Linked DNA regions of Rattus norvegicus. The protein of the gene in region 2 purifies or fractionates together with the protein of the main gene of each other region. This does not show direct contact. Links are inferred from orthologs where the notes say so. Each region holds a gene or a part of one and is shown on either strand. Other genes may lie near its edges. The genes, in order: Reps2, Ralbp1, Aak1 and Ccdc6.

Region 1 (7,598 bases), on a different chromosome or scaffold from region 2:
CAGGGGAAAAATTGGGGCAGGAGAACTGAAGGCAGAGAACCCCAAAAAAGTCTAGATTTCAAGAATAGGAACAGTCAAAGCAGAGAAGGGAGAGAGAGGGGAATTACAATTTGGAGAGTGTCACTTCTCCACCACCTGAGATCACCAGGGATACCATTTTGGAAGGGAGGTGAATGAGGAGAGTATAAGAGGCAACCAGGCTCTGCTAACCTTAGCTCCCTGGGAGCCAGTCTGTTCAGTAGTAGCACTATGGGAAAGAAGGCACACTGTAGGAGGCTAGAGATGGCCATGCAAGGGGCAGTGTGGCAGTTGTTTGCGCTACAATCTGAGTGTTTTGTGCTGTGAAGTTTCAGGCAAATGAAGGCCTGATACAGTGAAATGTAGAAGTCACTTTGCTCATAAGCAGCTGGTTTATTCATCCTGTCAGTATTTTGCATCATTGGCTGATAGCAGCAGAAAGCAAAGGGCTCTCCCACAGCTGAAGGTACACAGCCTTAGGGACACAGGGAGTCTTATGTAAGTCCCGTTACCCTGTGTTCCACTTGGCTGTGTTCTATGTCGTGAAGTGCTTGGGGGTATCCCTCATCAGTCTTTGAGACTTAATAGTCAGCCTTTCTGATCACTACAGCCATTACATACCTCCTTTCCTTTTAAAGGTAAATGGCTATGTTTATTAGAGTACTTCATTTTTAAAAGATTTAAAAGATTTGTGTGTGTATTTCTGTGTGTGTGTGTGTGTCTGTCTGTCTGTCTGTCTGTCTGTCTGTCTGTCTGTCTGTCTGTCTATCTGTCGAAGCCAGAAGAGGACATCTAAACTCTAGGAGCTGGGTTGTGAACTGTCTGGTGTGGGTGTTGAGAATTGAACTTCAGTTCTCTGGAAATGCAATTCTTAACTGCTGAGCCATCTCTCCAGCCCATACAGTATTTCTTTACTAGGATTTTAATATTAAAATTATGGGTCTTTTATGGTACTGATTGTTTTCCTCGGTACTCTTTAAGTCATTTTCCTAACCCTTTCTCATCTAGTATTTTTTTTTTTGATAATTTTTGTAAAGTGTCAGTTTTTAAGAAATCTGTATGTGAGATACTCATGGCTCCTTTTCTTTAGACTGGAAGGAGACGTGGAAGGGAATAGCGAGGTCTGTGGTGGAAGATCTTCCCCAAGGATAACTGCATGTCTGCAGCTTGGTCTAGACCAGTGTGACTTGTTCTCCCTGAGTGACTCTTTTCCGAAATGTTCTTGGTCATATGTTTACACAGTTGGGGTTTGCATATATACCTTCTCTTTGACCTTGTTACAGGCTGAACCGGCATCTGAAGCTGACTTATATCCTCAGATGAACAGAGCTCCTTCCCAAGCTGCAGAAAGCAGTCCAACAAAGAAGGTAAGAGCAGCAGAAAGATGGCTGCGGTGCTAGCTTAAAGACCCCTGGGCTTCTTACAGAAACTTGAAATTTTCCACCAAGATGAATGTGACCGATCTACAATTCTGAACTGTAAATTCTTTCTGAAGATTAGAATCCTGAAGGTTTGGGGCTGGACCATGGATATCCCTGGTAGTTTGTAGTCTCTCCAACCTTAAAACTAAACATGGGTGCCTTGTGTTTGGCAAGGTGAAAAAAATGTTTTCGAGGAGCAGGAGAGATGACTTAGCATTTTATGCTCTTGCATAGCTAGGGCCTGGATTCAGATCCCAGCACCCATATGGTGGCACTCTACTTTCTGACCTCTATGCTCATTGTACACACATGGTGCACATACACACAACATATAAAATTAAATATAAAATGTGGGGAGAGCTGGGTGACTTTGGTAAGCCTCCATACATTTGTTAATGAAGCAGATGAGTGTAGCTGGTATAGCTTTGCTACTTTGGTCTCCACTTGATTTCAGATATGCACACACTGCTCTCCTAAAGTGCAGCCAGCAACCTAGGACCCTTACTTGTATCATGTTTCATGCATACCCTACTTAACAATGGCACAAATTACTCCTGCCTTTTAGTAGTTACACATTTGTGGTCAATTTCCTTTGAAAATGCCCCAGAACATATCAGGGATGAGACACAGAGCCCTTCTGGCCTGAATTAGTTTTGGATGCGTGTGTGTTAAGGCAAACTATATCTTCTGCAAGAAGTTTTAAGGAAAACCTCCTATTTACCATCTTATGTCTATAAATGGTTGGGTGTGCATATGACTAAAATGAGATATGTCACAGGAAAGGACATGCTTAGTGAGGAAAAGGCTTATATAATTCCAATAGCCCACTGAGTTCTGCAGTGTATCCAATACTATCCACCAATGGGGCAGATTGTATGGTCTGTTCCAGTCGAGCTTCTTGCTGCTTTACCATTCATGTGCTCATTTGGAAATTCAGCAAGAATCTAGAAACCATCTAGTTTCAGACAATGCCCCCAGGTAACAGTAAGACCCCATTAGTACCCTTTGTGGGTAGGACCGCCTCCCCTTCTTGGTACCATGATTTCTTTCTTTTCTGTTTTGTTGTTGCTGTTTTCTTGTTTTTAAAGTTACCATGCAGAGCAGTTTACTTCACTATCTCATTTCCATAAGTATTAGTCTGTGTTGGTTCTCCCCTTCTTTATCCCCACCTGTGCCAGGATCTTTTCTCAAATCTTGACACCTTGCCTTAGTCTGACCATGTCATTTGGCCCCTGCCCTTCACAGTCAGTACTACTCACTATTGTGCTCCTCGTTTACTTTCTCACCCTCTTTTTGTTCTTTGGTATTATCCCTTAGGCCATTCTCTTAGCAAAGAAAGTGAACCTTGGGTTTGAAAGGTAACATGGGGTCCCCTAAGGAAGCAGGTCAACTGTTTCCTTGAACACACTGTCTTTTTGTTTGACTTCATGTAGGGATCAGGAGTAAGAGAATGATGAGCATATGGTTAGGACCATTACAGATTTAAAATATATTCTTCAAAGAGGCCCAGAGTGAGGCAAGAGTCAGTTTTGTCTTCAATTAGAATAGACCTTGTGGTTATAAAAGAGGAGTTCTCAATCATCCTAATGCTGCGACCCTTTAATACAGTTCCTTGTGTTGCGGTGACCCGCAACCATAAAATTATTCCATTGCTACTTCATAACTGTAATTTTGCTACTGTTACGAATTGTAATATAAATATCTGAGGTGTTGAATATCTGATATGTGACCTCCAAAGGGCTCACAACCCAAAGGCTAAGAACTGCTATTATATAAAGACTATGTGACAAGTTTAAATGACAAGAAAATATAGATTGTTTACAACATTAAAAAAGGACAAGGGTTATGTCACTAGAATCTTATTTTGGTGTCCTTCTTTGTTAACAACAAGAGTGGTAGATTCCCAGTGTATTTTAAAAAGACAGACAGTAGGCTGTTTGCTGGGACTCACTGCCAGCAGCCTCCAGCACTAGTCAAGTATTACCTACATGTCTGTGATGTGCAGTTTGAATAGAGGTCTTTTTGATCTTGGTCACAGAACTGTGAATAGTGGCATGATAGGCGGAGGGATCATTTAAAAAAAGTTTTTGAATGTTTTGGGTTGATTTTTTTTAATCCACAGGATGTACCACATGCTCAGCCTCCATCAAAGCCCATTCGTAGGAAATTCAGACCTGAAAATCAAACTACAGAAGGCCAAGAGTCTGCTGCTGTAGTTGGAGGGGCAGCTCCTGCAGCGATGGTGAAACCCCATCCAACAGTACAGAAGTAAGTGGCAAAAAGATGAGTGAAGAATGTGGGGAACTTCCTCTTACATATGCATGCATATGTGCTTGTTAATTTGTTTCCCTTTCCTAGCCACAGGGTTTAATGGTTGTCATAGTCATCTCTGTCATGATGATGACGACGGTGACAGCATTAAAGGCTCCCAATCTGATAGTAGACTTTATATTCCTGTTAGCCTGACACAAAGGAGCAGGCAAGTCCTAGGCGAGTGTTTAGTTTCTCTCTTTTCTTTCTTTCTTAACCCTTTTTGTGTTGGCCCAGATTTTCCTATGAAGGAGTCAATATGGCAAGGGCCATTTCCCCTCATCTCATGATCTCTTGTTTGATCTTGTTTGATTTGTTCCTTTAGGGCACATGGCCCACTCAGTGATCATAGTCTCAGTTCTCAGCAGAATTAGGGTATGATTTTAAAACATCTTCAGGTAGAGTTCGTTATTAGTCAGCTCATTACTGAATCGTGCAGGCAGATCTTCCATAATACCCCCTCACCATCTGGAACAGATACTGGAGGAATTGTGGGGACACCATGGACAGGACTAAGGATTGAGACATTTGTGCTTTGGACAAACCACCCTCCTTAGAAGGCTGTCTTTGAGATCTATTACTTGACTCAGTCCTTCTGTAGTGACATAAGGTGAAATATTGAGGGCAAAACCCCAGTGCTGTCACTTGACTTGAAGTGATCCTTGCTTGCCAGCATTGCAAGTATTTGAACTCACTTGTGATATTTCTGTCGAGCCCTTTCAGGTCCCACGGGCTCTGTAGCTTTCCTTCTGCTACACTATTGTGGAAAGAACAGCGACAGGTTCTGTAGAAGCTGGGTTCCATTTGGGTTCTTTGTATTCTTCTTGAGAGGATTTTTCTTTCCCCAAAGGGATAGTTACCTGAAGCCATCAAGCAGTACGGGAAGTGACTTTCTGCATTGTTGTCACCTTCCTAACCAGGACAGAGTTCTGTTAGGCACAAAGATGGCTATGTTTGCCTTCTTCCTCCTCAGCTTCATGTTAATTCCAGTCAGTCACGGGTAGCCGCATTGCCGTCCAAGGTAGATTGCAGGGCATCTGGTAAACTTCACACAGAGAGATGTTGCTTTCCCTTTTTTGTTTTTTTATTTTAAATCAGCTTGGTTGAAATATAATTTACACAGCATACACTCTGGTGGCTTTTAGTATATTCACAAAAGTCATGTGATCATCACTACACACTATAATTTTGCAACCTTTTTTGTTATCTCCAAAAGATTCTCTATGCCCAGTGGAAGTTGTTCCCCAAGTGCTCTTCCAGCTTCTGGAAACCACTAATTTATCCCCTGTCTCTACCCTGCTTACATTTTACATTGATATAGTCATGCATCATGTGCTCCTTTGTGCTTGATCTTTTACTTTCGTTAGTGTTTGCAAGGTTCATCCATGTTATTGCATGAACTAGAACTTACCTTTTTATGGGAAATACTATTCTACTCTATTGATGTTCCACATGTTATCCAATAATTCACCAATCAGACTTTTGGGTGGTTTGACCTTTTTACACATTTTAAACAATGCTGTAGTGTTATCTGTGTTCATGTTTTTGTGTGGACTTTGTGTTTTCATTTTCTTGGGAATACATATATGGGTAAAATTTGGATTTATGTCATAATGCTATGTTTAATACATTGAAGAAGTGTCAGATTCCTTTTCACAGTGAGCACTCCATTTTACGTCTTCAAAATGTATGAGGAATTTAGTTCTCTACTTCTTCATCAATATTTATCTAATTTCTGTAAAAATATTTTTTATTTTTTGAGATTATAATATAATTACATTAGTCCTTCTTTTCCTTTCCTCTCTACAAACCCTTCCATGTGCCCCCACCTTGCTCTCTTTCAGATTCATGGCCTCTTTTTTCATTAACTATTATTACATTCATATAGCATTCTTGAATACATAACCACAACCTGCTCAGTCTGTATGATGTTACTGGTATGTATGTTTTTAGGGCCGACCATTTGGTATTGGAGACCGTCTCTTGCTCTCAGCATTCCTTGATTGCCTATAGTTCTTTGTGTAGGTTTGAGGCTGTGTGAACTTTTCCCTGTCTCCATTAGCATGTCATCTTTTTTCAGGTCATGTTTAGGCAGTCATCCATCCTACTGACTGTAACGAGGCATCTCGCTGCGGTTTTCATTTGCATTTCTTTAGTGATTAATATTGTTGAGCATCTTTCCTTATACTTATTGGCCATTGGAATATAGTTTTGGATAAATACCTACTCATATCCTTTACCACTTATAGTTGAGTCATGGGTTCTTTTATATAGTCTTTATAAAACAAATATATATAGACAAATATATAGACTATATAAAACAGATACATTATTTTCTCCTGTTCTGTTTGTTGCTTTTTCACTCTCTCTCTGTTTGTATAGTTTGAAGCACCAAGATTACATTTTTGTGTGTGTGTATGTATGTGTGTTTGCACTCTGCAACCCTGATTGACATGTAATTCAGTTTGTAGACAGTCTGGCCATGAACTCACAAAGACCTACCTCTGCCTCCCAAGTTCTGGGGTTGAAAGTGGACATTTCCATGTCTGGCTTGGCACTTATATTTTTATTGTCATATTTAAGAAACTGCTGCCTAGTCCAAGTTCACAAAGATTATTTACTTAGAAAAGTCTTGTCACTTTATAGCTAACTCTGACTCCTATGGTCTATTTTGAGTTCATTTTGTATCGCATAGGAAGATGAGGTTCAAATTCATTATTTGACATGGTAATTATATAGCTATCCCTACAGTATTTATTAAAAATGGTGTTTTATTCTATGCATACGTTCTGTGAATGTCAGCATGCTAGTGTGGAGATCATGTACTGTTTAGCTAGGAGACTAATGCACAGGTAACGGTGTGAATAGTCAGGACCTAAGTTTTCACATGAGAGGATTTATACAGCTTCTAGCATGGTAGGAATGTTCATAATTTTTCAAGGCTGGGAGCAAAAGATAGAATATACAAAATGTTTGTCCTATAGGCTTTTCCCAAACCACAGTTTTGAGATGTAAGCTCAGATTCCCTAAGGTATGTGATATATATATATATATATATATATATATATATATATATATATGTATATATATATATATGTGTGTGTGTGTGTGTGTGTGTGTGTGTGTGTGTGTGTGTGTGTGTGTATTCACCCCTCCCCCACTTCTTTCCCATTCACAGTGCTATTTGCTAGGTACTGTCTTTGGAGCAAATGAGAGAAAGAGTAGCAGACATTTTCTGTAAGCCTTAATTCTCCAATAGAACATGAAGAAAGGCTACAAATAAAGAAGAACTAGTTGTAAAACTGTCATCAGCTTTTATAGAAATTAACATCAAAAAAGAATCATTGTCAGAATCCAATTCAACTTTTGGTATTACGTTGCCCACACAAATGAATTAATAAATTCATTTGTTCAAGTAAAATGCTGAGTCCAGGTTATGTGCAATAAACATTTCAATAATGTGTCATCATTAATTTGGCTTAGAGACAGTTTGGCTTAATTGTTCTTTACCCCATCTTTCTTGTCTATTAAAGATGAACTTTTGGAAAATAAGATTATTTGTGCAGGGTGGAGACCGAGGATACCATATAACAGTACCATGGCTCTGTTCCAGACTCTGTAGACAGTATTCTTCCCTATAACCCCAGAGTGCATTATAGTAGCTAGTATAGACTATTTGCTTATCTGCATAATGTTCTCAATGTGGTTGGAATTTTTTCTTTCCCTCCTTATGATTTATATATTGGGATTCTCTATGGGATTGGAGGGTTGAATACCTGATGGAAGTCCTCCATTTCCAACAAAAGAAAAGGCAATCCAAAATTGTGACTTAGAAGATGCATCTAGTTT
Region 2 (7,598 bases):
CAGTGATAGAAGCTGTTTTCCCCACTTGATCTTGATAAGTATGAAGACTTTAGGAAGGAATGAAAGTTTCTTTGAAAATTTTCTGTAGGTTTGTTCAAAGAATTCTTTCATTTCTGATCTATTTTGATATTTGTGTGTTGTGCAGAACCTCATCATTCCTAGTAGAATGTCTCTTTTTTGTGAGAGCGAGCGCTCAGTAGTTGTTTCCACACTGACTGACAGCCAGCATGGCACACTGCCTGTGTAGCTGTGTCTCCCCTCTGCCCTCCTTGTCTGTATGGGATCTGACCCAGGCCCATGTTCATGCGAGGCGAGGGCTCCGTCACTCAGACAGCCCAGCCCCCGACCCTGGCCTTGCTACTTGGTGCCAATTGGATGGCACCTTTTTTTCTGGAGATGTTTGGTTCTCATTTATATCCGTTCCAATTTAAAAACAAATATGAAAGGGGCCAGAGAGATGTCTTGGCAGTTAAGAGCAGGGGTTGCTTTTCCAGAGGACCCGGCTTCAATTCCCAGCACCCTCATAGCAGCTCACAACTATCTGTAATCTAGTTCCAGGGGCTCTGACACCCTCTGTGGTCTCTGGGCACTAGGCCTGCACTCGTGCACAGACATACGAGGCAGAACACCTATATATGCCTATAGATACCTATATATACCTATAGATACCTGTATACACCTATAGATAAGTGAAAAGGCAAACAAATGCTAGTATGAAGGACAATCTAAATATCATCTGTATTTGCTTCATAATATTTTCTACATTAAATTACTTTTATACTACTCTATTTCTCACTGGAATTCCTTGTGAAGATTCCAGTTTTTAAAAGACAACATTTTTTTTTTCTTCTTTTTTTTTTTTTCGGAGCTGGGGACCGAACCCAGTGCCTTGCGCTTGCTAGGCAAGCACTCTACCACTGAGCTAAATCCCCAACCCCAAAGACAAACATTTTAATAATACTGACAACCTGTTTTGGTTGTCTGTGGTGGAGTAGTAAATGTTTTATAAGTCACACAAATGGAAGGTGGATGGTGGAGCACACTCATACCTCTAGCACTCAGGAGGCAGGAGGATTGTGAGTTTGAGGCTAGCCTGGGCTCCATGGTGAGTTTAAGGCCAGCTTGGGCCACATAGTGAGGTGTTATCTGCAGAAGCCATGATCAACAACATAGCAAGAGAGTGAGGGGACAAGAGCTGGTGGGACAAGGAGGGCAAGAGAATGACTGAAGTCTCAGCGATAGTTGTTGTTAATCTTGTTTTATTCAGATTGTCATAAAAAAAGAAATGGAAATTTTTCTATCTTAAAATAAAGATCACCAAAATAAGATTTGTTAATCTGGATAAGGTACAGATTTTTAATAATGCCATTCATCGAAGGTTTGTACATAAGATGGGAGTATCATTTCAAATATTAGCATTATATTAAGATGTTCAGATGAGATGACAGTTTACAGTAGACTTAATTTGTAGTTGTATGTAGTTGGTCTGTAGTTTTAAGTTTAAAAGAAGCAGCTGTTTTGATTACTGTCACTGGATTATGTCACTTAAACAGATGGGACTGAAGACAGAAGTCTGATAAGATGTTTGAAAAGCGTGCACTTGGTGTGTTGGATTCATGTGTTTTCCACTCAAATATGAAAACCAAATGGTTGTATTTTAGAAGCTTGACTTTATTTTCTTGCTCTAGCTTGGTTTGGTTCAGATTAAGAAAGCACTTAAAGAATTCAGACTTTAGGCCAGGCAGTGGTGGCCCATGCCTTTAATGCCAGCACTGCGGAGGCAGAGGCCAGCCAGTCTCTCTGAGTTCAAGGCCAGCCTCGTGTAGAGGGAGTTCCAGGACAACAAGGGCTACACAGAGAAACCTGGTCTCTAAAACCAAAACCAAAACCAAAAAAGAATTCAAACTTGAAAGTAGAAATTAGGTGGGTGTTATATAATAGAGAAGAGTTTTCCACAAGCTTGTTATGCTAGGAAACTTGGTTCTGCATTTGGAATAACTTATTTACAGAGAAACAGCTGGTAACGGCTGCATGTGACAGTTGCATTTTTGGGTGTCCGTCTTGAGGTCTCAGGAACTTGGCTCTCTGTGCATAGTGTATGTGCTCAGATTATAGCTTCATTTCCCCCTGAATTTTCATCTAACTTACATTATATTTAAATTTTTTCCTGGATTAAACATTTTCTTAATATTCCATGGTTTCTGGGAATGTTAAGTTTCCAGCTGTGGTTTTATGTGCCGTGTTCATAGAGAGTTCTGTGACTCATCTGCAGACACGGATTCTACCAGGAGGATTTGAGCTTAGTTCTGAGAAGGGCCTCACTGTAGCCCAGGCTGGCCGACTTGAACTGGCAGCAGTCCTCCTGCCTCAGCCTCTAGTGCTGCTGAGGTCACAGGCACATGCCCTAGCCTGGCTCCTGTGTCTGCGGCAGGTGTGTATGGTGGGGGGGGGAGTGTGTCTGATTCTGATATTCTCTCTCTCCTAAATTTAATATTTTAAGGAATCAAATCAAAGGTAGATGAGCTGAAAGCAGCCTATGACCGAGAGGAGTCTCCAAACTTGGAAGAATATGAACCTAACACTGTAGCCAGCTTGCTGAAGCAGTATCTGCGAGACCTTCCCGAGAATTTGCTTACCAAAGAGCTTATGCCCCGATTTGAAGAGGCTTGTGGGAGGACCACAGAGGTGGAGAAAGTGCAGGAGTTCCAGCGCTTGCTCAGGGAACTGCCGGAGTACAACCATCTTCTGCTCTCCTGGCTCATTGTGCACATGGACCACGTCATCGCGAAGGAGCTGGAAACCAAGATGAACATCCAGAACATCTCCATAGTGCTGAGCCCAACCGTCCAGGTACGGTGCTGCCACACGCACTCGGTGTAACTGTCCGGGTTCGGGTGTAACCGTCCTGGTACGGGTGTAACCGTCCGGGTACGGGTCCTGTCCACACACACTCTTTTGGTGCTGTTACTGGGAAATTAGAGAACATGTCTGTGGCTGACTCGCAGATAAAACAGTGACTCCAAGGAGGATATTGCGTCAGCCTGACCACAGATCTTCTCTGGCCATGTGTGGGCAGTGCCACCATGGAGAGATAGGAGCATAGTTTGTGGAGTGTGAATGTGCTACCTGCTTGGATCAAGCACAAAGGGCTGTGGTGTTTGCTTGGCAGGTCTGACTGAGGACTTCACCTGTACGATGGATCCCGAGAGAGGTGCTGTGTTGCCTCTCAGTCTGAGAAGTCAGTTAGGGAGTTAAGTGGAACATTGCTTGTGTTTTCGTTTTACTCACATGCATATCTGGCATCCTGTTGTATATGTGTGTTCATGTTTGTATGTGGGAATTGCGTGTGTGTAGCCATACATGTAGATGTATGCATGTTTATGTGGCGGTCATAGGACAACATTGTTCCTGTTCCTTAGGCACCAACCGTCCACCTTTCTTCTTATATAGGGTCCCTCGCTGGCCGGCAAGCTTCAGGGACCCTGCATAGGTGTGCACAACCATGCCCAACATTTTTTTAAGGTGAATTAGGGATATTGAACTCAGGTCTCTATGTTTGCATGACGAACGCTATCTTCCTGGCCTACGGTGCCTGTGTCACACTCTACTCAGTTGATTCCTCAAAGAAAGTCTTTAGAAGAGCTGATATTCTATGTGTCAGAGAGAGGGGGGGACGGATGAAAAAAGGAGACAGTGACTCTGTTTTGTTGTTCTTTGTTTTTTGTTTGTTTGTTTGTTTTCCGAGGCAGGGTTTCTCTATGTAACCCTGGCTGTCCTAGAACTCACTCTGCAGACCAGGCTAGTCTTGAACCCACTCAGATATCCTCCTGCCTCTTCCTCCCAAGGTGTGCACCACTCTAATATTTAATTAAAGTCCTCTTTTTGGTTGGTATGTGGGGTCCTGACCATATGTCATTATGCTCTATTATAAGAGGATACTTTGTTTTGCTAAAGATATTTTCATTAGTTATTAGTTAATATTTTAAAAACTTTCTCATATTTCCCAAATATTATGATCATTTTTGTTAGCCTGGATTTGGAATTTGGTCAGTGCTGCATTGTTACTCAGTGTTGCCATAACCTGAGCGCTTGTTCAACAGAAGCTCCAAGAACAAGGGAGTCTGAGCCAGGAAAAAATGTCCTCTCTTGGTTGTTCAGCCATCCTGCAGCTCTGGCTTCCCAGTACGGGGACATCCTGGAGCCTGTTGCTGCGTGTGTGCCGGAGAGGTGCCAACCTCTTCAGAAGGTCACTGTGTGTACAGAAGCTCTCAGAGTACATAGGAAGTGACCAGTAGGTATTTAAGTCCAGTTAGTGGGTGACGACGGGAGAGTGCACATCAGTGGCACTGCATTTCGTGTCCTTTACTGCTCTTCCCTTCTGGTACTAGAGAACCTGACTTAAGCAGGGCTTTCATGTGCTCTTAAATTGATAATTAGTGAAGCATCTTTGGTCCCTCCTATAGAGATGTCATGGCATCCAGAATTAATGCACAGTGTGATTGATAAAGGTAGGTAAGAGATCACTTCCATGGTCTTAGGCAACACTAAATCTGTTTTCTGCAGATCAGCAACCGGGTCCTGTATGTGCTTTTCACACACGTGCAAGAGCTCTTTGGCACCGTGGTCCTGAAGCAAGTAACGAGACCTCTGCGTTGGTCCAACATGGCCACAATGCCTACACTGCCAGAGACCCAAGCAGGCATCAAGGAAGAAATCAGGAGACAGGTGTGTGCTGCCCTGCCTGCCCCTTCCCTGCCCCTCCCTGCCTGGTTCTGTGCTGCCCACAAAGGGCTATGGAATGGGTTGGTGAACCCTAGCTTGGGGAGTAGGGAGCTGTTCCTGTGTGTAGTCCATGACTCTTGTGTGTTGAGGTTGTGGGACCACACCCAGTTTTGTGCAGTGCTGGGGCTGGAACCCAGGGCCTTATGCAAGTACCTGTCCATTGAGCTCTGCTCCTGTCATGGGCATGAAGAACATGCTCTTCTTGTTCCACTTCTACCTGGTCCTAGTTCATATGGTGTAAGTGAGCAGCCATGGTAGGAATAGCATAAGGCTTTAAATTCCCACTCTGCTCATTCTTTTCTTTTCTTTTTTCTTTTTTTTTTTTAATTTATATATGAGTGCACACCAGGTCTCATTACAGATGATTGTGAGCCACCATGTGGTTGCTGAGAATTGAACTCAGGACCTCTGGAAGAGCAGTCAGTGCTTTTAACCACTGAGCCCTCTCTCCAGCCCTGCTCATTCTTGACATGCTAATTTTAGACAAATTGTTCAACATCCTTAAACCTTGGTGTTCTCATTTTAGAGTGGATCAGCTCAGGGGATGAGTGTGGGAGATGACACATGGGAAGGACTCAGCCACAGCTGATCTCAGACATGTTTGCTTTTCTATGCCCTCACCCCTCATGCTTCACAGCTCAGATACTGGAAATTAGGGATATTTAATCATTTACCCTGTGTGTGTGTGTGTGTGTGTGTGTGTGTGTGTGTGTGTGTGTGTGTGTGTCTGTGTGTGTGTGTCTGTGTGTCTGTGTGTTGGGGATGGAGAGACAGACTGACTGGTAAGAAATTCAAGACTTGAGTAAAACCTTGAGGCGGTTGATGGCCTTGTGTGACTATTACCACAAGCCTGTTTTTCTTGTTGGCTGAGCTCTACTTATCAGTTACTGTGAGGAGGAACAAAAATGTGGGTGAATAATGGAATGAGGGTCTAATCCCCCGTATCACCAATGGGAGAGCGTACGAGGTCGGCAGGGGCGGGGAGTTGCTGCTGTTGCTATGCAGAATGAAAACTGAGCTGCTGTCGGATAGTGAGATGGCAGCTTCTGTGTCTTTTTCTTATCTAGGAGTTCCTTTTGAACTGTTTACATCGAGATCTGCAGGGCGGGATAAAGGACTTGTCTAAAGAAGAAAGATTATGGGAAGTACAGAGGATTCTGACTGCCCTCAAGAGAAAGCTGAGGGAAGCTAAAAGACAAGTGAGTCATTCTCTTATATCCTGTGTAGTAAATCTGCAGGGAGTGTGGCCGAGCCCTCTATACACTGCTGTAAGTTATTTCTTCTAAAAGGAGCATACCTGTCTGTTGGCGTTAAATTCTCTGGTGGGAAATTTATTCACACAAATGTTTTTTGTTCTATGTCATTCATACTTTAGCATGGTATAAATCAAATTAAGTTTAGAAAGAATTTTCTTTTTTTAATTACAAGTTGATCGCTTTTATTATTTCTGCCTGGTTTGTGTCTGAACAGAGCTTTGTAAGGGTGAGAGACCTCTGGAGAGAGACTGCTCAGAAATTTGAGTTTTGAATGGAAATTCAGGGCTTGATGCCCAGGAGGGCTCCTGCTGTAGAGACTTCACCTTGTGGCTGCTGTGCTGGGAGGGCACAAGGCCCACTTCTGGTTTTATGCTAGTTTGCTGTGTAAAGCTTGCGTTTGGACTCAGTTTTTCAGCCATCAAAGCTAAACTCCACACCCTGAAAGATCTTACAAGCCACATGCAGATCCAGCAGCAGATTTGAGTAGCACAGCCTACAGACAGACACTAGTTAGCACCTCTCAGACCTGGAGAGTGGAGTAGTGGGTTATTGAGGCGACAGGCACCTAAGGCCTTTTGCTTTGAGGTTAGAGTGCTTGTTGAGGGGACAAGTCTAAGATTGGCATAACCGCACCCAGTTTTCAGGATGTGTAGCCTGGGAAGGAAGCCTTTCATATTATTGTTCTCTCTAGCTCACTTAATGGTCTGCCCTTTGTTTCCTGTCTTATGACCTCTTGTTTGTTTGTTTGTTTGTTTGTTTGTTTGTTTGTATGTTTGTTTTAATAAGCTCTCTTGTGGCCCAGTAGTCTCAAATTGGTTCTATAGTCAGGGTGACCTTGAACTCTTGATCCTGCTGCCTCTGCCTGGCATGTGCTGGATGGTAGGCTCGGGACATCATGCTTGGCTTTGGACGTGTGCCTGAGTTTCACAGGGCAGATTGCACTGTCCAGCAGCCCTACGTGAAGGGTCCCTGCCATAGGACAGAGGTAGATGTTTGCCTTTTGTGTCTCTTAGTTGTGTGTCTGTTATCAAAGGCCCACGGCTGTGGAGATAGATGGCTTAGTTGGTGAAGTGCCTGCTTTGGCAAAAGTAAGGAACAGAATTCAGTCCACAGCACTCACACCTAGGAGTTATGTGCTTGTGTCATGGCTTATGCCTATGATCAGCACTGGAACAGCAGGAGGGCCCTGGGCTTGAAGGCCAGCCAGTGCAGAGGACTCCATGAGAGACCATGACTCAAAATTAAGTCGGAGAACTGACTGAGGAATGACATCTGACAAATGACTTCTAGCCTCTACCCATGTGTGCACAAGTACATGACTATACAGGTTTGTGTACACACACACACACACACACACAGAACTTTGGTATTGAGCTCAGAAGCAGTGTGGGGGTATGACAAGAGATGGCTGTCTTGTCTTCTTCCCTTTACCAGTTGTAGTCTCTCCCCGACCATTCCCTCCCCTTGCTGCCTTATTTTTTAGCTATACACCCAGGTTCCTTCATGCTGGCTTTACTTTTGAGGGAGAACTTACTTAAAGACATATCATTCAGTGGATTA
Region 3 (7,598 bases), on a different chromosome or scaffold from region 2:
CGGTCTATTTCTTCAGTCATGCCTGCTATGGGGGTTGGGAGAAGCTCTGGCATGGGGATTGGGGGTGGAGGGCAGAGGTGACCAAGACCTCTGTAGCCTTTGTGCATAGTGGGAATACAGCAGTCCAGACTGTTAACTCCCTTCCTGCTACTCCAAAAGAAGTGACTTTTCCCGTTTTCCATGCACACAACCTGTATCTCTGGTCATCACTGATGTTCTGTGATTTCTCCAGTAAATTTCATGAGTAAGGAAGAATCTGTGGAAGAAAACCTTTGTGAAACAGTTGATTTCTAACTGGTCTTTGGAACTTCACCGATTTAATAGACTTGAGCTGATTCGTCTTTAGAAGGCCAAAGCTTGGAACACTACCCATACCAGGATGTCTGATAAACAGGGCAGTTGCCTGGCCTGCTTACTCAGTTACCTAAACCTGAACTCTTGAAGGACTTAGCCCTTAGACTTTAGTGCTAGCACTTAGGAATGCCATTACCTCACAGAAAGTTGTCTTCATCTCTGCATTGTGATATGCAGAGCCCTTCCCTCCTACATCATAGGGTCAAGTGGGGGAAATTTGAGAACTGTGCATTAGATTAGAGGATGTTTATTCCAGGTTTGGCTCAAGGAGTGGGGGGGGGGGATTGCTGAAACTAATGATGAATGAAGCTGTTTTGATTGTTGTTGGCTTTTTGAAGCCAACTGTATATAGCCAGGCTGGCCTCAAACTCATGGCAATCCTCCTGTCTCAGCCTCCATAGTTATTGGTACAGGTGTGAGTCACTATTGCCTGTCTTGAAGCCAGTCTTTTCTGACATGGAAGAACGTGTTGCTTGAAAGTAGCTTGTATCCCAAAGTTATTTGTAGGGGCCAGTGATCAGCGTACACTCCTGATGGTTAACCTTGTGCACGCATGCTCAGCCATCCAAATGCAGCAGGAATAGGTGCACAGGCTGTGCTTTGCATCTGGCCCGAGACTTGTGGAAGTGAGCCTTCCCAGGTTTTCCTGAGCAGCCTCTGACTTCTTCCTTCTCTCATCCCTTCCTCTCCACTGTTCATGCCCTGGTACAAAAGAAAAAGCTGATGCTGCTGTTGAGAGTCTCATACCTGGGCTGGAGCCACCTGTTGCCCAGCGCCTCCCATCTCACACGGAATCTGTGACTTCAAACCGCACAGGTCAGTCAGGGAGCTGCAGAGCTGGTCAGTGCAGGAGCCTCAGAGCAGGGCTTCCCACCTGTGGCAGATGAACCTCTGTTTATTTGCATTCTCGTTGGTTTTATAGTGGATGTTATGAATTATTCTTACAGTCTTGCTTCTGGATATAGAGTATATCCTTGTGCTTATGAACTGAATACTTTTTGGAGCCATGTTTTTCTTTTTTTCTTTCTTTCTTTTGTATGGAATAGAGTCTATTCGGGGCATGGGGAAGGGAGTTGAGAGGATAGGAGAGGGAGGGGCAGGGGGGGGGAGACGAAAGGACAGATTAAGAGCAAGAAAGCAAGAGAGCTGGAGCCATATTTTTCTTTAGAATGACTCCCTGATTACAGAATTTGCTATTCATTACCCTTTGCCCAGAGCTGAGGATATAGCTCAGTGACAGAGTGCTTGCAGAGCATGCACAGAGTCCTAGGTCTAGTCAATCCTCAGTACCAGAAAGGGGAAAAAAGACTGTCTCCACTGGGAGCAGGTTCCTCTGCCTTCTTAGCAGGAGTCTGCGCAGACAAATGGCTGCCTCGGCATGTCCTCAGCATTGGTTCTGTGGAGCTCAGCCCTTCCTGTTGACAATTCTTTCCCACATCAGAGCTTCATCCTCTAGAGTTGACTCTTCTTTAGCTTGCAGGAAACATTGAAATCATCCTTGGACCCAGTATTGCTTTGAGTCTTTCAGTCTTGTCTGAGTCCTCATGCTTTGATATAAGACTGTCTGCTGGTGCCCCTTATGTGATGGTAATCAAAGCTGGGCCTCTCCTGTTCCTCACTTGGATGTTTCTCCAGGAAACACTCCAATGTTTTATCTCTGGGTTTTCCCCAACTCTTTACTGAAAGAAAGTAGCAAGAGGCATTTCAAAGGGGAACCAGTGTTAGCACGTCAGTGTGATTCCTGAGTGGAAAAGTTAAGTGAGACTCTAGCCTCAAAGTCCTTTCTCCAAACAGTGTCTACCGAGAAGTGTGTTTGAATCACAGACTCGTTTATTGTTTAACGAACAGTTTCTAAGCTAAAAATCTATACGTATGTGTTACTGCCAAATGGAATCTAGGATACATACATGTTTTTGTGCTTAAAAGTCCAGAGAACTTAACATGTTTCTTTTGATTTTCTTTCTGTATCTTGGCTTGTATATATGGCCTGTAAATGCAATAATTTGAAAGTCAAGCTCTAACCTCACAATATTGTTGTGTGCTGTTTAATGCCATCGTTGCCTGGAATGCTGGTAACTGGACTCAGACTCTCTCACGGGGGAAGACTCTCTCCTTGACTGTTCTCTGCTTTCTAACCCTACTGCTGACCTTCTGGACGAGTTTGCCCCCATAGCACTCTCTGCTTCCACTCATAAAGGTAAAGTCTTTCTTTTTGGACCCACATGTATCCCTGAGCAGAAGAGTTGAACAGCTCCTGGGGACTTCCCTTATCAAAAGTCTTTGTTAATAAAGTGTTCAAACTGTCCATTTCTGTAGAAAAGATGGGTTTGTAGTCTTTTACGGTCCTCTCACAGTAGTTAATAAGCAACTGCAGACAGGTGCAAGGATGGCTTTCTGACAAGGACTGGGATACATACATTCCATGTTACCCTTGGGAGCGCGTGCCTTAAGGACCAACCACATAGGTGGATAGGTGGGCCAACTGATTAGCCTTAGAAAGTAAAGTCATAGCCATACTTAGAAGGTAGAGGCAGAGAAGCAGGCAGATCTCTGTGAGTTCAAGGCCAGCCTGAACTATAGCACTAGTTCCAAAACTCTGCCTTGAAAAACGAAACAAAAAGAAAAAAAGTAAAATCATTTTATCAAATCTGATTCAAGGTTTTTAAGTGTAAAGAAACAATATCCTCAAAAAAAATCATTCCTCAAAAATTGAGCTGTGAACATTTTAATATTATTTCACCTTTGAGTCATAATTGATTACTGGGTTTCTCTCTCTGGTCCACCATTTTCACTTCTTAGTTTTGGCTTCATCTGGTTTGAGATTTTGCAGGCAGCCTAGCTTGGATTAAGTTCTGAGGTCTGTTGTGGTTATAGCTTGCTTGCCCATAGCAAGCTTTATTTCTGTGTTGGAGAAGTATTGGAAAATGAACAAGTTAAGCTCCTCCTAAAGGAAATTCAAGAAGAAAGCCCAGAGCTAACTGAAAACAGAGCTCATGGGTCACAGGGATGATGGCTGGTTTTGTTTTAGGGTTGGCACAGGAAGTTACCTGTGTGGACTTTGATGGCTGGAAGGGATGTGCGGTAGCAATGTGTAACCACAGAGAAGCACTGCCTGCCACACGGTGCTCGGGCAGCGTTGCTGGGGCCAGCTTTAGTTAGAGTGGAGAACATGCTGGGCATGGTGGCACCTGCCTTTCATCCCAGGCCAAGAGATAGAGACAGGCTGATTTCCGTAAATTCAAGACAACTAGGCCTACAGAGTAAGACTTGTCTCAAACAACAACAACAAACAAAACACAAAATCCAAAACAAAAAGCAAACCCAAAAATGGAGAAGGGGATAGTCTAAGAAACTTGTGCTGGTGGTCTCAATGTGTGTGCTTTTGTGACCCAGCATTCAGAATTATGGAAAAGTCTTTTTTTCACAGAACAGGGACTCTGAGCCTTTGCTTGCCTTGTACAGATTGGCTACTTCTCTTCCATTGTTGGTTTTGGGTCCTGGAACCTAACACAGGACCTTGCACTTGCTAGCACACACACTGCCACGGAACCATACCTCGGCCTCTACAGTTTCTCCTTTGAGTGTTTCAAGTGTTGTTAGCCAGGCCTCTATTGACTCAATAAAGATATCAACATTGCAGAGACACATCACAACCATTTGATCTCTACACAATGGAGAATTCTTAGTTATGTATGAAATTTTAACGTTGTAAATTCTAAAGTTTTACTTTTATACACCTGTGTTTTCCTGTTTCCAACTTTTATTTCAATTCACAAAAATAAGAGCTTTCACCTTTAAGAATAGTGGTTGTTCATGGCTTTAGGCTTGGTGCCTCCTTCTGTTCTCTCATTTGCTAATCTCTTCCTCTGTTGTTTGCTTGTGTGCTTGTATTCTATATTAAGCTGCAGAAGATAGTAATCTCATCTCAGGGTTTGGTGTCGCTGAGGGCTCCGAAAAGGTGGCAGAAGATGAGTTTGACCCTATTCCTGTACTGATAACCAAAAACACACAAGGTAAGAAAGAGGCTGGAGAGAAGAGAAGAGCTTGACGTCCATTCTCAGCAAAGCAATGCCCTAGCCTGCATGGTGAACCGGAGCATCACCATTTGCTGAAAGACCCTGGATGATGGCAGTCAGTGTAGGCTGGACCAGCATGTGAGGCAGGTAGAGATGCTGCTCTGTAGCTTAAACCTCACTGACTTGGATTTATTTAGAGAAGGCTTAGTTTTTATGAAATGTCAAGCCAAAAAGAAAGTCTCTCTGGTTGGTAGAAGCCTGAGGCCTATGTCAGAAGTGTTGAGCATTTTTATCATAATTAGAAAATATGTGATAGACACAGATTCTGCCCAGAGAGCTATTGGTGGCATTTTGGTATCTTCTGCCTCTGTGGACATTATGGAACATGTCTTTCCTTCCTTAGGTTGAGCCATGAGAGCATGCACAAAACACCAAACGCACCACTTACTTACTTTGGAAAGCATGTTCATATCACAATACCCTGATAGCTGATTTCCCCAACATAAACTAGTGTTTACCCTGTGAGAGATGGCTGTCTGTTGGCAGGAGGCTAGCATGGCAGCCAGAACTTACGGGCAGACATGTCGTTTGGAGCCAGCAGCATCTCTGTGGTATGCTGCCTCTACTGCGGTGGGCATGGAGGAAGATGTTGGTGGGAGGTGGTGGTGCGGTGGCTAGGTTTAGAAATCAACATGTAAGACGTTTTAAATATGAGATATTGTTTCTCTGAGTTTCTTTGTTTTCCTTTTTCTCCTTCGCTTGCTCTGCACATCTAACCCTAACCCTCTGTTTTGTACTGAATCCTGTCTTTCCGCTTCCAGGTGGGCACTCTAGGAACAGCAGTGGGAGCTCTGAGTCCAGTCTTCCCAACCTAGCCAGGTCTTTGCTGCTGGTGGATCAGCTCATAGACCTGTAGCCGTGAGCCAGGAGCAGACACAGTTCTGTAACCTTCATGCCGTAATATACATTTTCATTACGGAGTTATGAGAAAAATGATTTTTTTTTTAAATCTGCAAATAAGGGGCCCTCAAGCTCCTTTCTCCTACCCCTTTCCTTCTCCTATAGAAATGATAAGGAAAGAAAAATCTCTGCCCCTCCAGATCCATCCCTTGGCCAGCTCCTCTCGTTAGTGTGCTGTGTTTTCTCATTCCCCATCTTCAATAGCATTATCTTAACTCAAGCGCTAACCGCCCTGAGCTTCACCTCTGCTGGAATCCACTCACAGAAGCTTGGCTGTCACTGAGCCTGTGCTGAACACTTTTTGTCTCATTCTTGCTAGGAATGGCCCCGTGTCAGTCCTGTAGCCCGTCTCCCAGATGCTGATGAATGTGTGTCCATCCTGCTTTTTATCCTGATGCACTCATGAGGACAGGGCAGCTATGGCTGGTCTCACCCCAGGCAGAAGTCTGGAGAAGGCCATGCAGTTTCAACAGGGCAGACCCAGTAGGATGTGTTTGTGAAGAGAAAGTGAGCTCAGCTCTAGCCAGCCAACTTTGACCTTGTTTGAGCCAAGGGATCTTACACCCCATGTGCAGCCTTCTTGGCATTTGTCTAGCTATCTGGCTTCCATTGAATCGTGGTTTCTCAAATCTAGAGGTGTGACTGCAAGTGTTTGTGATCCTTGAATAAATGTGTATGTGATATAAACACCAAGCATTGCCATCCTTCCATGTTACCTGGCCCAAGCTGGGATCTCAGAATCAGACCAAAACAAGACAGTGGTGGGAACATGATACCTTTTACTAGAAGACTTTTCATGGGGGGTGGAGGGGAAGGGAAGGAATTGTAGCAGAAACAGATGTATTTTTCTTGTGATTTTTTTATTTTGAATCAAATATTGTAAATTGTGTATAAATGAAGATGCTGAATAGTTCTGTTTCCACTTGGCATTTCAAGTCTGACATCAGATGTCTGTACAGGGTTTTGCTCTTTCCTGTGTATAACCATATAGCAGTCCTAGAGTGGTGGAGTTATGTCTTGCTGGAAGCTTTCAGCAGCCTCTGTCTCTGTATACCCGGGCATGTTGTTTATTTTCAGATCATCAGAAATAAGTGTGCCGGGCACAGTTCGGCTGGCTGCTTACCTTCTCTCTGGTGTTTAAGTCGAAGGCTGAAGCTGATGAAATATGTGCGGCTGGCTTTCCTTGGCTTCCTAGATTTCAAAGACCAAACAAAGAATAGTTCTTCACTAACCTTAGACTGTTGTTATAGAGTTAAATAGAGGCTCTGCACTTGCTCTACAACATGCCTCCTGGTCACCCCTGTGTACTTACATCAAGGTGTGTGGAGAGCACTTTGGTAAAAATCACCCGTTAGAAGAGGAGCAGGCACAGGGAGCTCCCTTCCTCCAGTGCCATCCTCCAGGGTTGGACGGGGACTCTCAGTTCATCAGGGCTGTACAATCCCAAACCCCATGGTGTTCTCTACATGATGCTGTTCTTTCTTGCTCACATTGCACTTTAAGTGGCGGGGAACCACCAGCAGCACGAGCCTGCAAACACTGCCCTCTGGAGGGCCACCGTTGTCTCCATCAATGTGACAGCAGGAAGAGTGGACACTCAGTCTTCCTTCTGACTTTAAATACTTCCTGTGCCAGCTGAACCTAGATGAGCTGAGGAAAGGCCTCTGATAGAAGAGATGTTTCCACAAGTAAGCAAGACGCGGTGTGCAGCGAGGATGGGGATATCACGGAGGAGCTCTCCACACGAGGGCTGAGGGAAGCAGGACTTGGTTAACCCCTTGGTGGACAGGAAATGATTGTGTCCTCTTTCCTGGACATAGAAAGAATGTATAAACTAATGAAGGAAATGTTTATTTTTAAATAAGGATGTTTTAGGTCTGTGTTTCATATTTGTTTTTTTTCTCATACAAACGTTAGCAATATAATGAAATGTCTACTTTCCCAGTTTAATTGCAGCTATGAAGAGTGCAGTCTAGAAATTAGGTTAAGTGTCTCTAAACCTTTCTTCCGTGTGTCAAGCATAATTATATTGAGATATATTGTGTAGTCATTTGGCTCAAAAAGGCTTAATAGAGACACTAATGAAAACTCACAGACTTTTACCAAGGAAGATGGTTGAAGCCTGGGTGAGACAGCAGAGACTGGGCTGGTCTTCAAGAATAAGCCTTCTGTGGGCAGAGCTGCTTTTCTGTTGAGGAATACTTTCTAGTGACTTGGTCAGTGCAGCCTTCCTTAGATCAGTATCAGCCTAAGCTGAGGGAGTGACCT
Region 4 (8,366 bases), on a different chromosome or scaffold from region 2:
GGATTTACTCCACCATTTTTATGTCTTCATTGAGAACATGAAGGTTTAAAGGGTACCCAGCAAATCAAAAAGGCAAAAGTTGTATTTGAGAAACAAAGATTTAGGTGTCCCCTCGCGCCTCAACAGCAAGGCACCCTTTATTTTACCCATAAACCCTGTGACTTAAGCTCAGGGTGAAGCCGATTCCATTATTTCTGCCTTAGAGGTGCTAATCTTCCTTTGCTCCGTCTTCCTCCAGGGAACTCAGCCTAGCATCTACCCTCTGATTCATTTCCCCTGGAAAGCAGAGGAGTTTTATACTGATCCGATCCGTTTTGTATCTGGTGTTTCCATTGTAATGCTATTACAGAACCAGCGTCGTGACAAATCGTCTGTTTATGAGGGGAATCAGCTCTACAAGAAGTAGAAAATTAGATGTGCTTCTGTTTTGCAGTAACAATAAAAACCAGAACGGGGGGGGGCGGGGGATCCTCCAATTTATCCTCATCTGTATCAGCAGGGAAGCTTCAGAAGATGAAATTTTTTTCTAATATCTTCTCAAACCGATTATTAACTACAGATACCATGTCAAAATGTAGTTCCCCTAAGGAAGACCAAGGCGTTCTCAAGCTTAGCCTGACACGGGCCCTTTAAGAAAACCAGTGACTTCTAACTCCACCCCTCTGCCGACTGGAAGCCTGCAGTCGGCTTCCTAAGGCAGTTAGTTTTCGAGATAAACGGGAGGGAGCTAATCCCCCCTGACCCCCGAGAAGGAATGCTCCCCAGGCCGTAAGCCCTCCAAACCCCGCAGTCTGGAGGTGGGGTGGGAAAAGAACAATAGAAACTTGTTAAGTATGGAAGCCACGCCCACCCCAGACTGCACTGAATAAAGCGGAAAGAATGCAGTTAAATCCCAGTCCCGGGCCTTTCCCCATCCACCTCACCCCGCGAGTCGCTTTTCCAGAAGCTTCCTGTAACCCAAGGAGCCGAGTGTCTCCTGTCCCAGACCCAACATGGCAAAGTCAAGGAGCCAAGTAAACTTCAGTGACAAAGTGGCTCCCTCAGCAGAGAATTGTTTACACTGGCGATGTGCTTCTGGAGAGCAATGCCAAAGGCTCCCCACCTCGACTTTTAACTTTTATGGTTAAATTCTGCTTCACCGACTGTGTTCAAGAAGTCCCTAGGAGGACCTAGGAGAAGTTTGGGGGGCTCCCCGCAGTTAGCATTTCTGAGTTGTTGACTAGAAGCAGCCATCTTGGTAAACATAAGGTCAAGGTTTCACCCCTGGCAGGTTAAGAGTTTATTCCGAGGTGAGACCAGTTCCTGTTTAGCCGTGGGATGAAACAGCCTAAGCGCCCGATCGAATGTAGGTTTAAAGACAAGGTTATGAACCAGGAAAGCGAGGTAGACATACTAAGCACTTAACAAAACTCCAGGAGCAGTTGACAGCCAGAAACCACTTTTCACCTCCCTTCCCCCGATTTATTTATTTATTTTTTTGCATTTTGTTTCCATGAGTTTGTTCTTCCGTTGACTAAACTTGGATAATAAAACCCGTCTGGTTAGTTTCACTTTCTTTCTTTTTTTTAAAAACCTAGAAGAGAAAGCTGTTTTGTATCAGAAGGGTGAAGTGTTTAGACCTTTCTCACCTGCTAGGCCTGTTTCCTGCGAGCCCTCCTAAGAGGGAGGAGCCTAAAAGTATTTGAGTTTGAATTTGATTCTTTGAAGCTGGCTCTCTACAGTAGTAATTACGGTTTTATTTTTTACCTCCTGGAGTTTTGTAGGAGTTGGAGAGCCGTAGGTAATAATGGTTATACAGTTCCCCTCACTTAATCGTGGCCATTTGTTTAGCATTGTGCCTGCAGTTACTTTGGAAAATTGGTACTTGAAATGTGTTTCAACCCCTTTGGGGGGTGGGGGGAGCTCCCGTTTCTTGACTAGACAAATCTCGGTTTCTTAATCCTATTCCCGTGACCTAGGCAGAGTCTTCGCAGGAGGAAAAGAGAAAAAAGGGTGGACGGGGGGTGCGCCTGGGTCCAACAACTGACGCACCAGGGCCTGGTCGCCTCTGCAAAATTCTTTCTTAAGCTAGGCTAACCTGTGGCTGCAACCCACAGACAGATACACACACAGAGAAGGAGACAGACACACTCGGAGTGACACAGACAGATAAGACACACTCTGAGGGAGGAACACAGACAGACACACAGAGAGGGAGAGACAGATACACACTCAGTGGGAGAGAGACAGACACTCAGAGGGAGAGACAGACAGACAGACACTCTCGGTTCACTGCAGGGGAACTTTCTGTCCTCAGCCCCAAGCAAGCGTCCGCACGGGGTGCCCAGCGGGAGATCCACGCGCGGCGGCGCCGACCGAAGGTGCTAGGCTCCAGCTCGCCAGGGATGGAGGGTGGGGTGGACCAAGGAGCCTGGCTGCCCCTCCCACGTGTCCGGGCACCTGCGGGGCTGGCGCGGCGTGGGGTCCGCCTTTCTCCGGAAGAGGCGGCGCGGCGGGAGGAGGGGGGCTGGGGCCCGGGACCGCAGGGGGCTCCTCTGGGGCGGGAGCACGTGCGCGGAGAGGCAGCGCGGGCCCGAGGGTGTGCGTGCAGCTGCTAGGCGAGCGCTGGGGCTGGGGCTTTGCGGGGACCGCCCCGCGGAGCGCGCCAGAGCCCCGGCGCTGCAGTACTGCCCGAGTCCGGGCGGGGTCTCTGTTCCCTGGCGGAGCAGCTCGCGCGGCCGCGGGAAGCGCCCTCTCTTTCTCCGCCGCCGCCGCCGCGCGTCTGCGCCCTGCCGCCCGCCCGCGCCGCGCTCTGAGCTCCCCCGCTCCCCCGCTGCCGCGCGCCCGGCCCCGCGCCCACTCGCCGCGCGCCCGGCCCTTGGCGTCCCCGCTCCCCGCGCCCGGCTCCCCGCGCCCACTCGCCCCGCCATGGCGGACAGCGCGAGCGAGAGCGACACGGACGCGGCGGGCGGCGGCCCGGCAGCCATGCAGTCGTCCTGCTCGGCGACCTCGGGCGGCAGCGGCGGGGGCGGCGGCGGGAAGTCGGGGGGCATTGTCATCTCGCCGTTCCGCCTGGAGGAGCTCACCAACCGCCTAGCCTCGCTGCAGCAGGAGAACAAGGTGCTCAAGATCGAGCTGGAGACCTACAAACTCAAGTGCAAGGCGCTGCAGGAGGAGAACCGCGACCTGCGCAAAGCCAGCGTGACCATCGTGAGTGCACCCCGCGGATCGTGGGGACCCCCGAGTGCGCGCCCCCGTGCGGGGCTGCGGGCCTGAGGGCACAAGGAGCCGGCCTTGGGGTCCACGAGCGCCCTCCCTCCCTTAGGGTGTTGGAGGTGCCTGGGGAGACTCCCTACGTCCCCTTGTCGCCCCGGGTGGAGGCCCCTCCGAGGCAGGGCTGGAGGCTGGCGGCGTGGCTGGGGGGGCGGGGTGGGACTTTCTCAACCCTAGGGTGCCTGAAGGCTCTGAATCGAGGGACACCCTCTCCGAGTCCCCGTGAGTGGACGGAGCTGGGTTCTGCCTAGGGGTTAGTTGGGGAGACGGGGTGTGCCACTGGGCTGGGCCCCCAGTTGGCAGGAGGACGGCTCTTTGCTGGATCGCCAGCGCAGGGGGAGGGAGAGTGGCCCGGAATCCGGGAAGTGGAGTTTTCTGGCCAGGATGGAAAGGGAAGGGCGGGCACTGAGGCTACACTAGCACCCCGTTCGGAATCCCTGTCCTTTTGGGCCCAGAGGGTGGGCGGGTACCGAGTAGTGGGGAGTGTAACGTCTGGCGCTGACTGGGACAGGGTTGGAGCTGAAACCATGATGGAGGGTGGCCGCTGGGACTGCCTGGCTGAGCAAGGATTTACGTGCATCTCCTTCATTGGTTCGAGAGTCTTAGGAGTACTTGCCTGTGAGTCTAGGTACTTGACGGGAACACAGGCCATCTGTTCTGTTTCTACCTGGCCCCGCGAGGCTCCCCTGGAAGAGGGCAAGATTAGTCTGAGCTCAGCCTCCTGGTGTAGCAGAGTGGAAAGGCCCCCGAAGCGGTGATGAGGCGAAACGTAACTAGAAAAAGTACGCGCTGTGCTCTCACCTCTCCTCCTTGCCAACTCCACATCATTAACATGCAGAATCCCCCACAGACAACCCTATTCAGATCAAAACAGTTTCCCAGCCAGCAGCACGGAAGAAAATGTCAAGAAATCAAGGAGGATAAATTGTCAGAGCCGCTTGCGTGCAGCTGATTAGACGGGAACCTTCTAAGAGAGAAAAAGAAATTGGGTGGTGGGTCAAGGATCACATCCTGGAGACGAGAACGGGACAAATTTAAGCTGCCCTTGTGCCAAGAAAAAGTGGTGGTGGTGGTGGTGGGTGTGTGTGTGTGTGTGTGTGTGTGTGTGTGTGTGTGTGTGTGTGTTTGCCTGGCTTCATGGCTTCATGGTCTGTGTAGATAGCAGGTCTCCACTAGGGAGGCAGTGTGATTTACAACCTGAATAGCCGCTGGTTTTGTAGAGGTATCTTTCTTGCTCTTCCCCGGTTTGGTGGAACTGGACCTACGAGCGTACATCGCCAGGCTGCAAATTGTTGGATTGGCCTTTTGATAGTCAAGGAAAGGCATTTGTGGAGATGACCACTTAAGCCTTTTCTGGGCTAAGCAAGAGGACTCAGCAGAGTTGTGGTTGAAGGAACAGAGGGACAGTGGAGGTCGTTTATTTGAAACTTGATGTATACGAACACTGCTTGAAAACGTGTCATAAATGACAGCGTTGGTCTCTTGCAGAGAAGGAGCAGTGGAAGGGAACAGACCTCCCAGGAGGAGGGGGTACCTCTCTAGCCTCTTCTGTGCCTGAGAGCATCAGGTCAGGCTGCTTTTTGTGTGGAGACAGGAAACATTGAGAAGGTTATCTGTTTGACCTGCTGACCCATAAGTAGGTCTGTTTCTTGTACACAGACACACTGGCCTTGCAGGGACAAACATGTTTGGGTGAGGTGGGGAAAGCTCTGGTTCTTCTGCTCGCTCTGAACGACAGCGAACTTCCAGTCAGAGCCCTCGTGCTAGTACGTGTTCTCAAGTCCTATCCGGTGAGGTTGTTAAATCGTTCAAGCTGACAGTTTGCAAGTGTGGGGCAGGCCTCAGAGTTTTACAAGTGCCAGCGGCCCACCTGGGTACCTCAGTCTTGGCAGGTGTATTAAGGGGCTAATTGTCAAGGGCAGGAAAGAGGTTGGCGAGGCTTTTCACCTGGGGTGAAGATTCGGGCGTGGGGGTCCCGCCTCTGGAACTGCCTTAAGTCCAGAGAATCCATGCAGCGTCAAGGTGTGCACCTCCTGACAAACCCAACTGGAAAGGCTCTGACGAGGATAAGGTAGTTCATCCAGGCCTCTGCTGGTTTCCAGACTTTTAGTTAATTTGACAGGCAGAGGAGTAAGGGCATCATCCTGTTTCTTGCTTTCTTCACTCTTGTTATTCTTCTAGTTATGATAATTCATTTTTGTGTCGATGACCAGTACAGGTGATGACGTCTGTACTTAGATAAGATACACTATAAGGGTATTGACTTTCAATATACTTTTCTCCCCCCAATAGGTTTAGGCGTATGGTAAAGTTAACATAGTTTCTCCCGCCCGCTTCCTATGCCCTCTGTAGACACAACTTCTTCCAGCACCAGCCTCCAGAGCTCCAGAGAGGGGCAGTTGTTAGTGTCGAGGGACCCACGTGTACCCACAGTCTGTGATTGACATTAGGTCTCACAGTTGGAGTTGTATATTCTAAGGCCTTGGATGAAGGCATCAACACATCACCCAGCACAATTCTGTCTTCATGGTAACCCTTAGCCCTCCTTCTTTTTCTTCCTCCCATAAGACCTGGAAACTGTTTTGCCCGCCCCCCCCTCGGGATGTCACGTGGGTTTGCTCTGTCACACCTGGTAAAACGGACCGAAGGAAGGATCCCTCCTGATCTTTGGCGTGTGCATGTGTGCACGCTCGAATAGGGCATACACGCGTGTGTCTGTGGAAGCCTGACACTGTTCTTTGACTTGTCTTCTACCTCCTATGTTGAGGCAGGGTCTCTCTCACAGCCTGCAGATGAGGTTGGCGTAGCTAGCCGGCTTGCTCAGGGGCTCCTCTGTCTCTACCTTCTGAAGGGCTGAGATTACAAGCTGGTGTTGCTAGGCCCATGGAGTTTTTGATGGCTTTTCCTTGGGTTCTGAGAATCGGAACCCAGTCTCCATGCTTTTCCAGCAGGCGCCGAATCCCCTGACCCTCGACAGTATCCATTTATTTGTTTTTTGAACGTGTTTCTTTTTAGGGCTCGCATGTGACCGTTTGTCTACTGAAGGGCGTCTTAGTTGGCTTGCAAGTTCTAGCGGTTGTGAATAAATCTGCCTTAAGCATTCACATCCATTTGTCTAGACAGAAGATTTCAGCCCATTTGGGTAAATACCCAGGATTACGGTTGCCCGGGTTATGTGGTAATTGATTGTGTTTACTCTTGTAAGAAACTCCCAAACCCCGTTCTAAAGTGCCCAGAAGAGTCCTCGCTCCTCACTGAATCTGGTCCCGAACTTCCTAGACTCTGATCTTTCTCAGGCTTATAGTGGTGCCTCATAGTTGGAATTTTTTTTTCCCACGGTGAGGATCAAGGCTCTAGCCATTGAGCTGTCCTGTCTGTTCTGGTATAGCTGTCTCATTCCCACCACGACTCCCAGTTCGAGAAGAGTGGATCCTTTGGTCTGTTTCTCAGTATCTGAAGTGAGAGGAAGCCTGTGTGTGGAGAGAGAGAATGAACAGGCCTCTCGGGCGGTCCATCACACAGGGGAGGGGTCAGAGGTAGTCTTCAGTGTACTGTATCTGGGCCTTAGAGAGCGACGAGAGTGATCTGAGGGATTATCCAATTTCACCCATTAAGTCAGCAGCGGAGGCAGGCTACTGATTATAGATGGTTTGGCTTTGGTTTGGTTTGGTTTTTTTATGAGTGGGAAATAAACACAAACCAAATGTTTAGTCACTCCTTCACATAGTGTTTGTGTGTTAGTCCAGATTAGCGTGGGGCAAATCCCGGAAGAGTGTGGTCTCCGATTGTCTTGACGCAGACCCCGAGGGTGGCCCAGGGATGGGTGATCCTTGGTCAGGTGTGGGAGCACAGTTGACGGACAGTCCCACAATGGGCAGTCCCACGAGTTCTCAGCCAGCTTCTGGGGTGACATGTGTGAGCAGTGTTCAGTCGCCTCCCGCAGGCACGTGTCTTTTCTAGACAGGCTCAGAAATGCAGTGCATTTAGTTTGGAAATCAAGGCCTGTAACAAATCACTAAGATTTAAGTGTCTCTTCTGATTATAAAACAGATCCCTTCCTTATAGAAGTTTAGGGCCATACAGACATAAAAGTTTTTTTGTTTTAAGATTTATTTATATGTGTTTGCCTGTATGCATGTATGTGCACCATGTATGTGCAGTGCCCTGAGAGGCCAGAAGAGGGCGCTGGAGCCCATTGAGAGATGGGACGGGAGCTGCTATGTGGGTGCTGGACACCGAATCCAGTCCTCTGGAAGAGCAGCTAGTGCTCTTAACCTCAGAACCATCTCTCAAGTTCATCTCAAAAGTTCAAAACCTTACCCAAGGAAGGACACCCTACACACAGCTCCTTGAGTGTGTTTGGGATAATTTACCATGCAGCCTCAGATACAATTTTCCATTTCTAAGACTTAAAAATGGCCCCCAGAAAAAGGTGAAGTGACCTTTCTCTCTGTGTAGAAGTTTTTTTTTTAGGTTCTTATGGAAGCAAGCACTTAAGAAGAGACATTTCCTCAGGAAATGGGAGCTCAGCATTGGATCCGTCTGCGCACAGCCCTTGAGTATTCTGCCTTGGAGTCCTGTTTGTTTTACATCTGTGGGTGCCCCCTGGGTGTCCTACAAGACACCTCGGGAGGTCACCAGTCTTCTGTAACCCTCTTGTTATCCATTTGGTAGGGGATGGGGGCTACTTAGAGCATCCAGAGTGTTGAGTTCATGGGTTCAAGACCTCAGGAACCAGTCTTGAGGAAAGACCAGAGCTTCTGAAACTCTTTCATTTGTTTTCTCCCAAGACAGCTTTCTGTTGGCTTCCCAGGCTGTGTCATTGGTCATGTTTGCTTCCCAGCCATGCTCCTCTCCTGATCTGCCGTTCCTATGCATCTTCTGAACCCACACAGGCCTGAGTTCCCCAGCCCCCTCTGGCTCAGTCCCCCCATCCTGCTTTGCCCTTCTCCACCTTCTCTTCTCCAACGAGAAGTCTAGTCAGTTGGGCTGTCTGTCTAGCCAGTGTGCCCTGGGGGTGATGCCAGGTGAGGTATAACTAGGCAGACGCAGAACCCATCTGCCACCACCGCCATCTTGAGGAGATGTGGGTCCTCCCATGGGGTCAGGCTTTT

Evidence for each region.
Region 1: the proteins of Ralbp1 (region 2) and Reps2 purify together in Homo sapiens (affinity purification with mass spectrometry; 3 studies listed by BioGRID and IntAct, counting the BioPlex papers as one, with this or other methods). This does not show direct contact. The link is inferred for Rattus norvegicus from reciprocal best matches to the Homo sapiens genes RALBP1 and REPS2.
Region 3: the proteins of Ralbp1 (region 2) and Aak1 purify together in Homo sapiens (affinity purification with mass spectrometry; 3 studies listed by BioGRID and IntAct, counting the BioPlex papers as one, with this or other methods). This does not show direct contact. The link is inferred for Rattus norvegicus from reciprocal best matches to the Homo sapiens genes RALBP1 and AAK1.
Region 4: the proteins of Ralbp1 (region 2) and Ccdc6 purify together in Homo sapiens (affinity purification with mass spectrometry; 3 studies listed by BioGRID and IntAct, counting the BioPlex papers as one, with this or other methods). This does not show direct contact. The link is inferred for Rattus norvegicus from reciprocal best matches to the Homo sapiens genes RALBP1 and CCDC6.

What each region holds. Positions count from the first base shown.
Region 1 is NC_086039.1:35,924,155-35,931,752, forward strand, and holds part of Reps2 (RALBP1 associated Eps domain containing 2), read left to right. Parts: intron 1-1,301; coding exon 1,302-1,385; intron 1,386-3,561; coding exon 3,562-3,707; intron 3,708-7,598. UniProt on the Homo sapiens protein: Involved in ligand-dependent receptor mediated endocytosis of the EGF and insulin receptors as part of the Ral signaling pathway. By controlling growth factor receptors endocytosis may regulate cell survival.
Region 2 is NC_086027.1:112,910,314-112,917,911, reverse strand, and holds part of Ralbp1 (ralA-binding protein 1), read left to right. Parts: intron 1-2,500; coding exon 2,501-2,850; intron 2,851-4,563; coding exon 4,564-4,725; intron 4,726-5,849; coding exon 5,850-5,981; intron 5,982-7,598. UniProt on the Homo sapiens protein: Multifunctional protein that functions as a downstream effector of RALA and RALB. As a GTPase-activating protein/GAP can inactivate CDC42 and RAC1 by stimulating their GTPase activity.
Region 3 is NC_086022.1:120,988,381-120,995,978, forward strand, and holds part of Aak1 (AP2-associated protein kinase 1), read left to right. Parts: intron 1-1,068; coding exon 1,069-1,170; intron 1,171-2,440; coding exon 2,441-2,551; intron 2,552-4,256; coding exon 4,257-4,367; intron 4,368-5,191; coding exon 5,192-5,286; 3' UTR 5,287-7,598.
Region 4 is NC_086038.1:18,521,648-18,530,013, reverse strand, and holds the start of Ccdc6 (coiled-coil domain containing 6), read left to right. Parts: upstream 1-2,786; 5' UTR 2,787-2,907; coding exon 2,908-3,189; intron 3,190-8,366.